2 linked regions of the Arabidopsis thaliana genome follow. The protein of the gene in region 2 interacts with the protein of the main gene of each other region in a pairwise test. Each region holds a gene or a part of one and is shown on either strand. Other genes may lie near its edges.

The links.
Region 1: the proteins of AN (region 2) and AT3G56680 interact in a two-hybrid assay, tested with the Arabidopsis thaliana proteins (one large-scale study listed by BioGRID).

Annotation. Positions count from the first base shown.
Region 1 is NC_003074.8:20,989,090-20,994,236, reverse strand, and holds AT3G56680 (Single-stranded nucleic acid binding R3H protein), read right to left. Parts: upstream 2,958-5,147; 5' UTR 2,701-2,957; coding exon 2,580-2,700; intron 2,081-2,579; coding exon 1,453-2,080; intron 1,354-1,452; coding exon 1,092-1,353; intron 842-1,091; coding exon 791-841; 3' UTR 551-790; downstream 1-550. Other genes in the region: CIP111 (Cam interacting protein 111), read left to right, coding at 52-230, 317-368; AT3G56670 (F-box/associated interaction domain protein), read left to right, coding at 4,242-4,646, 4,906-5,147.
Region 2 is NC_003070.9:185,431-191,071, reverse strand, and holds AN (NAD(P)-binding Rossmann-fold superfamily protein), read right to left. Parts: upstream 3,928-5,641; 5' UTR 3,838-3,927; coding exon 3,250-3,837; intron 3,062-3,249; coding exon 2,896-3,061; intron 2,789-2,895; coding exon 2,658-2,788; intron 2,544-2,657; coding exon 1,752-2,543; intron 1,656-1,751; coding exon 1,608-1,655; intron 1,511-1,607; coding exon 1,397-1,510; intron 1,308-1,396; coding exon 1,236-1,307; 3' UTR 600-1,235; downstream 1-599. Other genes in the region: ASG4 (Homeodomain-like superfamily protein), read right to left, coding at 74-131, 244-476; AT1G01500 (Erythronate-4-phosphate dehydrogenase family protein), read right to left, coding at 4,499-4,732, 5,063-5,641. UniProt on the Arabidopsis thaliana protein: Involved in controlling the equilibrium between tubular and stacked structures in the Golgi complex. Required for cortical microtubules (MTs) arrangement that confers cell shape.

The sequences.
Region 1 (5,147 bases), on a different chromosome or scaffold from region 2:
GCACTAAGCCTGAAATTTGTTGCAAGTGTCTCACATCCTTTTATCAATCAGGAGAGTCTTGAAATGGAGGAAATAAGCATGCGACATTTAAAAGCTGCGATTAGCCAAATCGAACCAACAGAGATTCTGTCTTACAAAGCACTGTCTGAAAAATTCCAAAGACTTGTCCATACAGACCCACAAAGAGAAGAGGAGGTTACACAACCAGGAAACAAAAGCCGATCTCTATGGTAATATATATCTCTATTATCCATTCTGATCTCTATGCTATTTGAAGTTGTAAGTTACACTCACTTTGATGCTGTTACTTTTCCAGGACACCATTGAGATCAGTTGCCATGTTTCTTCGCCGCCACATTGCTTCGTAAACAAATGTTGAAACCAGCAAACTTTGGAAATTCTCCATCACTAACGTACGTATTGTGTTTGTTTAAACTAGATATTGTTTTTTTGTTGCGTCTCACAGACTTGTACGAATCAACGGAACAAATAACATGAATGTAAAGATTTGGAAGGCTGATTATTTATCTTGTGTAATGCAAACCTAAAGGACAGCTTTTGCAGATTTGGAAGACATTCAATTCAAAACAGAGAATTTCGATGAAGATTTGACCCACAGGTAGTTCATTGGTTTTCCATAATAGACAGAATCTGATAATTGTAAAAGGAACAAAAGGTCTCTTCATTCTGAATTTTGACATTACAACTCCAAAATTTCCATTACAACAGTTCCTAGGTTCTACAAAAAAAAATGGTAAACAGAGATAAAGATCGACAAAGAGGCAAGCACCTAGCGGTTCTGCATGTAGTCGAAGCTCAAGGGTTGTTGAACGAACTGTGCCTGGAGAAACAAGTTACAACTGCTTTCAGACAATCATTGGAAACAATGCACCAAACCAACTCAATTGCTTTTTTCATTTGTTTTTGGAAGAGTTTTAATAGAATCCATTTCTCTTAACGAGTTCTCAGCTATGCATAAGTATATATTAAACATGTGGGTGAAAAAATTTCAATATATGGTCCTTATATTTGGACAAAAGTTTTTATTCCATGATCGCTCAAAGAGAGTAAAAAGGATCAATGTTATTTACCTGAAGAGAGCCATTCCTGAACTGCTCATACGGATGAGCATACATCATAGCTGCATTAGGCCAATGCATATACATTGCATCCATTGTGGTGCCATAGGGACTCATGATTGAGCTAGGATGTGGTCCGAAGCCAAGAGGAGCAGGAGGACTTGGAATTTGGTTATATCCAGTGAATCCCATTTCGTAGTATGGTGTCGGTATTTGCTGAATGTTGAAGGGTGGTAGATTGAAGTTCTGATTCACCGGAAGGCTCCTAATGTACCTGCATTGACACACACAATTATCATCAACCATCATGTATGAAACTTTTTCGCTAGTATAGTAATGGTTTAGCCAGTAAACTAACAGCTGAGTTACTCACCTTTGGTGTCTGCGGTCATAATCAGGGTCAAACCGATCTTTCTCTCTGTCTCTAAATATTGCAACACGAGATGTTGGACCACTTTCCCTGATGCTTAAGTTCTTCTTGACCTCAACGTAAGCATTCTTAGATACTTGCTTGTCATCTCTGCTAAGACTTGCATTCCTCTCATACACCTGAGTTTCAGATGAAGAGTCATCACAACTAAGACCAGTAAGACCACTGAATATGCGTTCTCGAGCCTTGTCATACTCTTCTTTCCTCTCTTCAACACTTCTAAGAGGACCACGATTCTTTTCCAGATCACCAGCGCCATATCCAGATCCTTTAGAAGGTCGAGTCTTGATGGAAACTTTCCTGCTCTCAAACTTACCATTTTCTGATTGTTTAGCCACCGGGATTTCAGACAACCGAACAGCAGGAAATTTGCTCTCTGTAGTTTTCGTCACAAGGATTCTGTTTTCATTTCCATCAGCACCACTCTCTTGGACAGCTGTAGCTAGCCCATAATGGTTAGCAACACGATGGGCTGCAAGACGAAGATACGAAGTAGGAAAATGCTGGAACTCAAACTGCTGCTGTTCAGGGTTCTGCAACAACCTTTGAACATCAAGTTCCATCCGCAAAACTAACACAACAAGAGAAACAAAACAAAAGGCTTAGTTACAGTAGCAAGAAACACAAAAGCCAGGACACACCACAGGCAGTTCCACACAACCACACAAAAGCTAAGCTACTACCAGATAAAGGAGATATATGTACCACAAGCAGTTCCACATAAACCACACAAAAGGTAAGCAACTATAAATGTTGAACACCATGGACAGAATAAAAGTTTACATCTTTGATAACATTAACCATGGATAATACAGTGCAGAGAAGAGAGCTAAATTCAGCATGGGCATCAACATAATCGCAAATCTAAGAAGAGAGCCAGTTCCTGAGAAACCCAAAATCCCCAAATTGCGGTTAAATTAACCTAACTATACCCAGCTAAATTCAGATAAGACCACCAATCAAAATTTCAAATTTGTTAATCCAGATGACAAAAATCAGCTCTAATTTCAGGAAATAAGGTTAAACGACACGAATCAGAGAACAAAAAAAAGAAGAGAAACGGAGCATACTCGTGAGACGATGGCGAGAGTTGTGCAACGCCTCAACGAGAAAAGGATCCACATTAAATCCATAATCTCCGATAACCGAACCACCGGTTACCACGGCAGTTTCCGGCAACACTACGTCCATGAGAAAAAGGAATGGATGTTTCAGAGAGTTCTGGATAGCTTCCTCGCCGCGTCTCTTGCTTAAAACCCTTGGGTTTCTTAATCTCTCCGCAGCAAAGAGAAGAAGACAAAATCAAGAGGAAGAGGAGAATAGAAATCGAAGCATATTGAGAGCGGCGAGAGAGAAGAGGAATGCAAAACCAAATCTTATCTTTCTCTCTCGGGAAGGCAAAGCCAACGAACGAGAGGGAAAGGAAACTTTATATTTTTTCCTTCTTTATTTTTTATTTTTCTCCTTTTCATTGAAAATAAATATCTCATATAATTTTAATTTTTTAAATATAGTTTTTCTCTTCTATTTGGACCCACGATAACATGTGTAGGTATACTATATAGAGCTTATATTCTAAACAAGCATTTTGAAAACATTTCTTTCAAAACAGAGACTCTAAACAATGTCCGTGCTGATTGTCTTGGTAAGAAGGCAAGAGCACGAGATTCTATTTTTTCCCATGTAAGTTCTTCTACTCCGAACTAGTTTTCTCTCGAAGAAAACCGACCCGTTTTTAGCTTAAATGGATGACCTTATTTTGCCGTAAAAAACAACAACAGTAAAAGCATATAATAACTCCAATTTTCATTGTTACGGACATTTTTGCCCTTAAACTATGAGCTGGAGTTGAGAATGAGGTGAAAAGAATGCGTTTATCTTCTAAAAAATGCATCCCCATCTCTGATTCAATTTTAAGTTTCTTTTGACATTCAGAGATATATGGCTTAGATAGTGGATTTGCAGCTTCGACGGTAGACGTGAAGCTTTGACGGTAGCACAAAGATTTGGTGGTGGTTCACGGCTTTGACGGCGAGGGGTAACGAACGACGTCAATGGTAAACGCTATACCCTAGAATTAGACTTGTAAACCCAAACCGTCAAATATACAGTCTACAATTCTTACATACACACAATAACACAACACTACAACCATCCTCATTATCATCAAACACCATTAACATGAACAAAAATCAATGTACTTGTAGACATGATTATGAACATCAATTGAGCAATCAACAAAGTATCAATCACTTCTTGAGTTCCTTAACCTGCACAAAAATCACTGAACAAAAAAACGTGCAAATCGTAATACCAAATCGTGGGACTTTTTTGTTTCTTGTTGTTTTTTCCAGATCTCAAAATGTGGGATGTTAAAAATCTAGATCGCATTCACATCTCATGAGGACCAATTGTTAATCGTCTGAATTTCCAATCGTCGCTGACATCACTCTGTAATCAATGACTCCAAAGTTGTTGGTGTTGGTCGCAAGTATTTTTGATTTCTAGTGTAAAACGTAAAAGTTCATCAACAAAGAAAGAGCAACATCATCTCTCTGTAAGGGTAAAAACAACTTTCCCCAGGAAAGAAGTGCCTAAATCTAAAGATCATTTTAAAAGTGCCTAAAATAAAATATATATCTAAGACAAATGCCTTATTTGCAATAAACTCTATATACTATATACTATATAGAGAGCCCTCGTTCATTAGTCTAAGGTTTGACAAAACAGAGATGATGACGAGAGGACGCAAAGAGAATAGCAACGAGACCTCACCCTCGCCGACACTACTTCTTCACGGCGGAGTTATCGATATCCCTCTGAATACTGACAGTGGAGTGACTAAAAACACTCCCGGCGAAATCGCACTATTGAGGTTCAAATCTGTCTCGAAGCTGTGGTCATCCATTATCAGCAGTCGTAGAGACTTCATAGAATCGATAGTGACTCGATTTTTGACTCAGCCTCCTCATGATGCCCATTTCATCTTCGGCTTCGATTCAGGCCCTTACGTGGAATGTTTCTTAGGCTTATCGTCTACTTATCCTCCAAATACGGACATAGAAGCAGTACTATCAATCCCTGGGAGAATGGCGCAGTATGTTTACGGTTTGATGTGTTGTTTGTCTGGTTTTAAGGTAGTTGTATATAACCCTACCACAAGACAGTCCTTTACACTTACCAGGGATGACACATTGATTTATTATCCAGGGGAAACTACTACAACATATATAACTCTACCTCTAGATATAAATTGATGAGTTTTGATATCAGGTCTGAATTTTTTTATCATGTTGAATTCCCAGTAGAGATGATATTTCAACTCTGGTAAACTACCAAGGGAAGTTAGGATTCGTGTTTTGCGCGAATGACATGGAATATATTTGGGTTATGAAGGATGCTAAGAAGGAGACACAAGGATGGTCCAGGATTTTCTTTCACGAGATGCATGGCTTTTCAAATTGGCGCATCTTGGGTGCTACTTGTGGTGGTGAGATCCTTTTTGCCAAGTGGATGTACTGCATCTATCACTATGAAGACAAGCTGTTATGTGTCTTATATTATGAGCCGAAGCGAAACAGTATGAGGGGTGTTGACGTCGAAGGTACTTTACCTAATGATACAAGGCGTTACAGATT
Region 2 (5,641 bases):
AGAACAGAGTTCATAAAATTACTTATATGTAACTTCAGACAAAAGTATGGAATGCATATGTTTGATTGATTACCTGTATCACTGTTTTTGATCCAACAAAGGCCTTTATTTTCTTCCAATCCCGGTCAAATCTGCAATCAAATAGACATGATCATATCAGAAGAAGAAGAACAAATCTCAAAGATTCTATATATCATTAATCAGATAAATGAAGGCAGAGAAGTGAAATCCGTGTCAACATACAGATGAAGGGCTTCAAGGAACTTGTCGTGTTCTTGCTCCGTCCAGTTCTCTCTAGATTTGGTGATAGTGTAAGGCTTTCTAACCTTCTTTGTTGGATCCTCAAAAAACGACATCGTCCTATTGCTCCGTATGGAAACCGGTATCGTTGTTGCCGTGTGGGGAAGAGTATTGAAACCCGGTAGACTCATTTTCATAGGCAAACAATGAGCTTGGCTAGGGTTTACAGTCACCATAAAACTCGACAACACACACAAAGTTCCCTTTTGGTTTGAAACAGAGTTTGTGACTTGAGAGACTTGTGTGAGAGTGGTGGTGGTATAAGCGGGAGAGGGAGACAAGGTTAGAAGTGTAATCTCATTCGAAAAATGGATTTAAGCCGAACACGTGTAAGGAGCCGGTTGCTCTGGTTCAGAGCGTGGGACTAACAACTACAAGCCATGTGGACATTCTCCTAACACTCATGCCACGTACAAATTTAAATCCACGGCACATAAATTGCCACGTGGAATACGATCGTAAGCCAGCAATCTTATTTACGAGATAGCTGCCTAGCTGGGGCCTGGTTCGACTAAAAATGAAGGTTACTTTCTTTTGTAGTTTAGCTCAAATTTTAGTTATGTACGATGATGTGTTTTATGTACGATGATCTCTAAAACACAAACGCAGCATATACAAATACAATACACACACCTATTTCAAACTACTAACCAAACACACAATGCTTTCGAGTTCATCACGACCAGACCCAGAAAACAACAACAAACGTCCCTCTAAGACAAGCTCATCGGATGTTTCTGCAAACCGAGAATAAATAAAAAGAAACAATGATTACAGATATAAGTTGGTTGATACCAACTACACAACACACGACACAGTCTCGAAACACAAAAATTGGGTGTCTCTGTTTTTCGTCTGTGAATCCTAAGGATGTTAAAGTAACAAAAGTAATTAAAAGAGAGAAACTCACAAATGGAGAGACTCTGTTTTTCTTTTTAATCGATCCAACGTGTGATACCATCGTCTCCTACCATTGCCAATATCTCCACACGAACGTCCAACACCGCCTGCAACATTCATTACACAAATTATTTCTGTTTTCCAAGAAGTAGGGTTTTTCAATTTCGGGCCATTTTCTGTAAGGACAGAGACTTACAGAGGAATTCCTGCAGTTAACAAGCCGACATTCGTCCAGAGAACCTTCTAGACTCCAACTCTCCCACACGTCAAAACTATGGCTAGCAAACACAAACTCCATTCTTCTATTGATCTGCACACACACACACCCATGACACAACCACTTTTAGATTCCATAAGAGCAACATTGAGTTACCAATGGAAGTAACACTCTCTAATGTAAGAGCTACCTGCAGTAACTTCCCACCAGCAGCAAATGATCTCAGACCAACAGTGTCCTGGAAAACAAGTTCATGCACCAAAACCAATTTATAATGGTCTATCTGGCATTGTAAGCAAGATAAATGAAAAGTAAGAGAGAGAAAAAGGTTTACCTTGTTTCTGTATGCGATAATGAATTGTGCAGCAGGATCTCGTTTGGATACATTGGACAAAGTATCGAGGAACCAGCCACCGTTTTTCGTTCTTTGCCTGGAAACGTGGAGGCCCGAGAGGTCTTTCGCATACAAGGCTACTACATATCCATCTTTCAGTAGCTCACTTGACTTTCCAATGAACTTCTTACTTGACATTACAAGCTGATTTGGGGAAGACTCTTGCATTACTTCAAGAGGTGTTTTCCTACTTCTGGAATCTTCAGGAGAAGCACATCTAGAACTGGAACTTAATACTTCTTCTGTGTCACTCATAGCAATATCATCTCTTCGTGAAGTACTTTCTTCATTTAACCCTGAGGAACCATCCGTTTTTTGCATGTATTTTTGCTGTGAATGTCTCTTTTTGGCTTTCTTACCGGATCTGCTACGTCTTCCTTCAGGTTTTACGGCAGTATTTTGAGAAACGTGTTGCTGACCAGGGCTCAGAGATTCTTTTAACTCACTAGCCTCTCTACGTACGATCTCAGTGCTGGTGAGAGTACTTTCTCCCTGTTGCCTACTGGTGGATTCCACTATTGCTAATTTCTCGTGTTTGCTAGGTGATTGTTCTTCTTCTTCACTTGCTTCACTTTCCTCAACTTCCTCATCAGAAACAGTGTTACTTGGAATTACACCATCTAAGAAAAATGAATGCAAGATAGAGATAGCCTTCTCCCTTATCTCCATCCATACTTCCTCACTGTAATCTGCACTGCGAGGTAGAATTAACACATTTGGCATTTCCTTCACCTGCAATGAAAACAAGATATAATGGATGCAGGATAAACAACAGAAGAAGATGATGAAACAAGAGAATAGGCAGGCGCAAATGTGAAGTTTAGTCACTGGAAAAGAAAGTCATACCCATGCTTCCATCCATTGTGGACCTTCAGCACCGTCAAGGGCGCAGCCAGCTATAGTGCCATCAATTAGAAGTTGTTTCACAGCACAATCATCCAACAGCTGGCAGCTTCCAGTATTTACAAGAAAAGCCCCTAATACATAAAATCAACCAGAATTGAAGGGAATGCGAGAAAGCAGAAGTTCATCTTCAATTCACATTCATGGAGAATCAAATTTCATTTGACAAGAAAACTCATACCAGGTTTTATATGCTGCAAACACTCTGCATTGAGTATCTGAACCGTGTCATTTGTTAATGCACAATGTAGCGAAATGACATCACTTGCTGCTAGAAGATCATTCAATGTATCCATTCTTCGAGCAGCACGTGGGAATCTCGAGGGCCTGATTCGTTCTTCATCTCCCTGAACAGACGCAAACGCAACTATTGACAACAAATATAACATCCAAGGGAGAGGAACTTGAAAGAGAGCCATCATAGTAAGCAGTTTAGGAATGTAGTAGCTAAGAACTCAGCACTTTTTTTGGTCCCTAAAGAGTCAGTTTACACTAAGATATTAAAAGCTTAGCGAGACATTGCCAACAAACATACCTCTGGGACATCGAAGTAGAGCACACTCATCTTGAAAGCCAAGCTTCTACTAGCTAAATACCGAGCCGATACAGATCTGCCAACGATACCCAAAACCATACCACGGCACCGTCTCATTCCCCGGCAAAGAGGCTGAAGCGATCCGAGCCAACCAGACGCCGATAGAGCGTGTCGCGAGAGTAAATGCGTCCGTCGAAGGAGTCCAAGGATGAGCGCCATGACGGTATCCGCGATTTCCTCGGCTCGTGAAGTATCTACATGGACAAGTCGGAGACCTAGGTCGGCGGCGAGAGTCGAATCGACAGCGCGATCAGCAGAGCCAAGGCAGAGAATGAGCTGGTGAGGACGGAGTCGGCGTTGAGCTGCTCGTGGAAGATACGCGAGGGAATGGAGGAGAACGGCGGTGGCGGACTCGATCTTACCATCGGCGATGCGGCTGAGCGGGACGTATTCGACACCAGCAACGCCGGCGAGGGAGTCTTGCTCGAGCGCACAATCCTCTATACAGTTGAGTGTAACGACGTGAGGCGACGCCGGTGACGGCTGGTCGCGATGTGGCATTGTCGCAGACGAACGGATCTTGCTCATCTCCTCCTTCTTCTCGCTACTCTCGAGGAGTGAAATTTTGATTTTGGGAACATAATGATTTAGGGTTCAATGTTGTAAACTCTTACAAAATTAAGGGGCTAAATTTCATTTATAATAATTTTCAGGGCCCAAAATACAATTTAAACAAATTGACAATAATTTTTTAGTCCAATGCTCATGCTCCCCCGATAAGACGTCATCGGTTTGACATTTATGATAAACGACGCCGTCTTCCACTTGGCTTGTTGTAATAATTTAATTTACTAATTGCAAACAGATACTGAATACAGGTGAAACATGTACATTCCCTATTCCACATTATTTCCTGACCAGAAACCGAAAGACAAACTCCAGCGTTTGACAACAACAACAATAACACGAAATCTCTTTCTACACAAGAGCAACGACATAGACAGACTTGAGAAAAGAAAGAACAAAAGAACATGACTGGAGCAAGATGGGAACTCTCTTTTGTGCTACTAAAGTATATGAACAGAGCCGAATATATATATATATTCAAAAGGACACAAACAGGTGAAAACCAAAAGCTCTATACATCTATCTACCAAAATTCTATCTCTTTTATAACCCACTACGTTACCGACATTCTTAGTAGATCTCGAAATGTCTAAGTGGGTTTTTAGTTTATGGTAGGTGATGATCAGAGAAACCTCCTACGAAGGTTACTAGTTGTTGCTTGATACGAACGCATGAGTAATCCAACTCCAATGCCTACACCAAGACACATCCCAAGGCCTATCCCAACTCCGACTCTGACTCCTGCATTGAACCATGAGAGCTGACCATCCTCATCAACGTACATTCCTTCAGGGTAATATCTCTGTGCCATTTTCATATCTGAGTCATCGTATTCATCAACTTCTGATTCCATCATCTGCATAAACGAAACGACAAACAAGATAAAGCACCAAAAAAAGTGCAAAGAGAGTCTATTGACCTATATCCATATCTCAATTTCTGATCAGTCAACAATTCTACAATTTTCAAATTCAGCTGTAGAGTCAAAGAAAACATTCAAGCAGGAGCTAAATTCACCAGAAACTTGCGAGTGATCTTAATAACTAAATATCTGCTACAGCATTCATAACTCACAAAACTAGACGAAAGAAGCAACCTTTTCAAATCTCAATCCCAAGTTATTAAGAATCGTAACTTAAGGGCTTGGACAATCACCAAACAGAGAATTGTGAAATCAGAATCATACCTGTACTTTGCTTTGACGGGCCAATTCATCACCAATGGTACCAATGTCTTGCTCTTTGCCAACTTCCTCATCCTCAGGGATAGCGTCGAGTGTCACGTGCCTAGCCACCTTCCTCCTCGGACTCGCCTGAATCGTCTTGGTCAATATCACCGGGACACCACCACAACAACCAGCTATATAAACCTCGACGGACGGAGACGAGACTCCAAACTTTGGCTGGAAAAACACAGAGGCAGAAGGACCTGACACGTGTCCGTTTCCCATAGCAATGTAACAATCCATGCCCCATCCAGTCTTGGGATCACTCACAGTTCCATTGTTCCAAGCACCTTCGATTCTATCTAGGTTCCCACACAAGACCATATCCTCGTTATCATAAACCTCGAAATCAACGCATCCGGTAACGCGAACGGTCTCAGTGCTCACGTAAGTCACCTCCGACGATTCCCGGTCGACTCTGTCACGGCGGAGTTTAAGCGACGCCGTCTGCGACGAAGGAACGCGAACGCCGTTAACCTCAAGAGAAGCACCGGTTTCGCGACGAGGGTGACGGAGGGTGAGGAAGTCAGGGACGTTCTC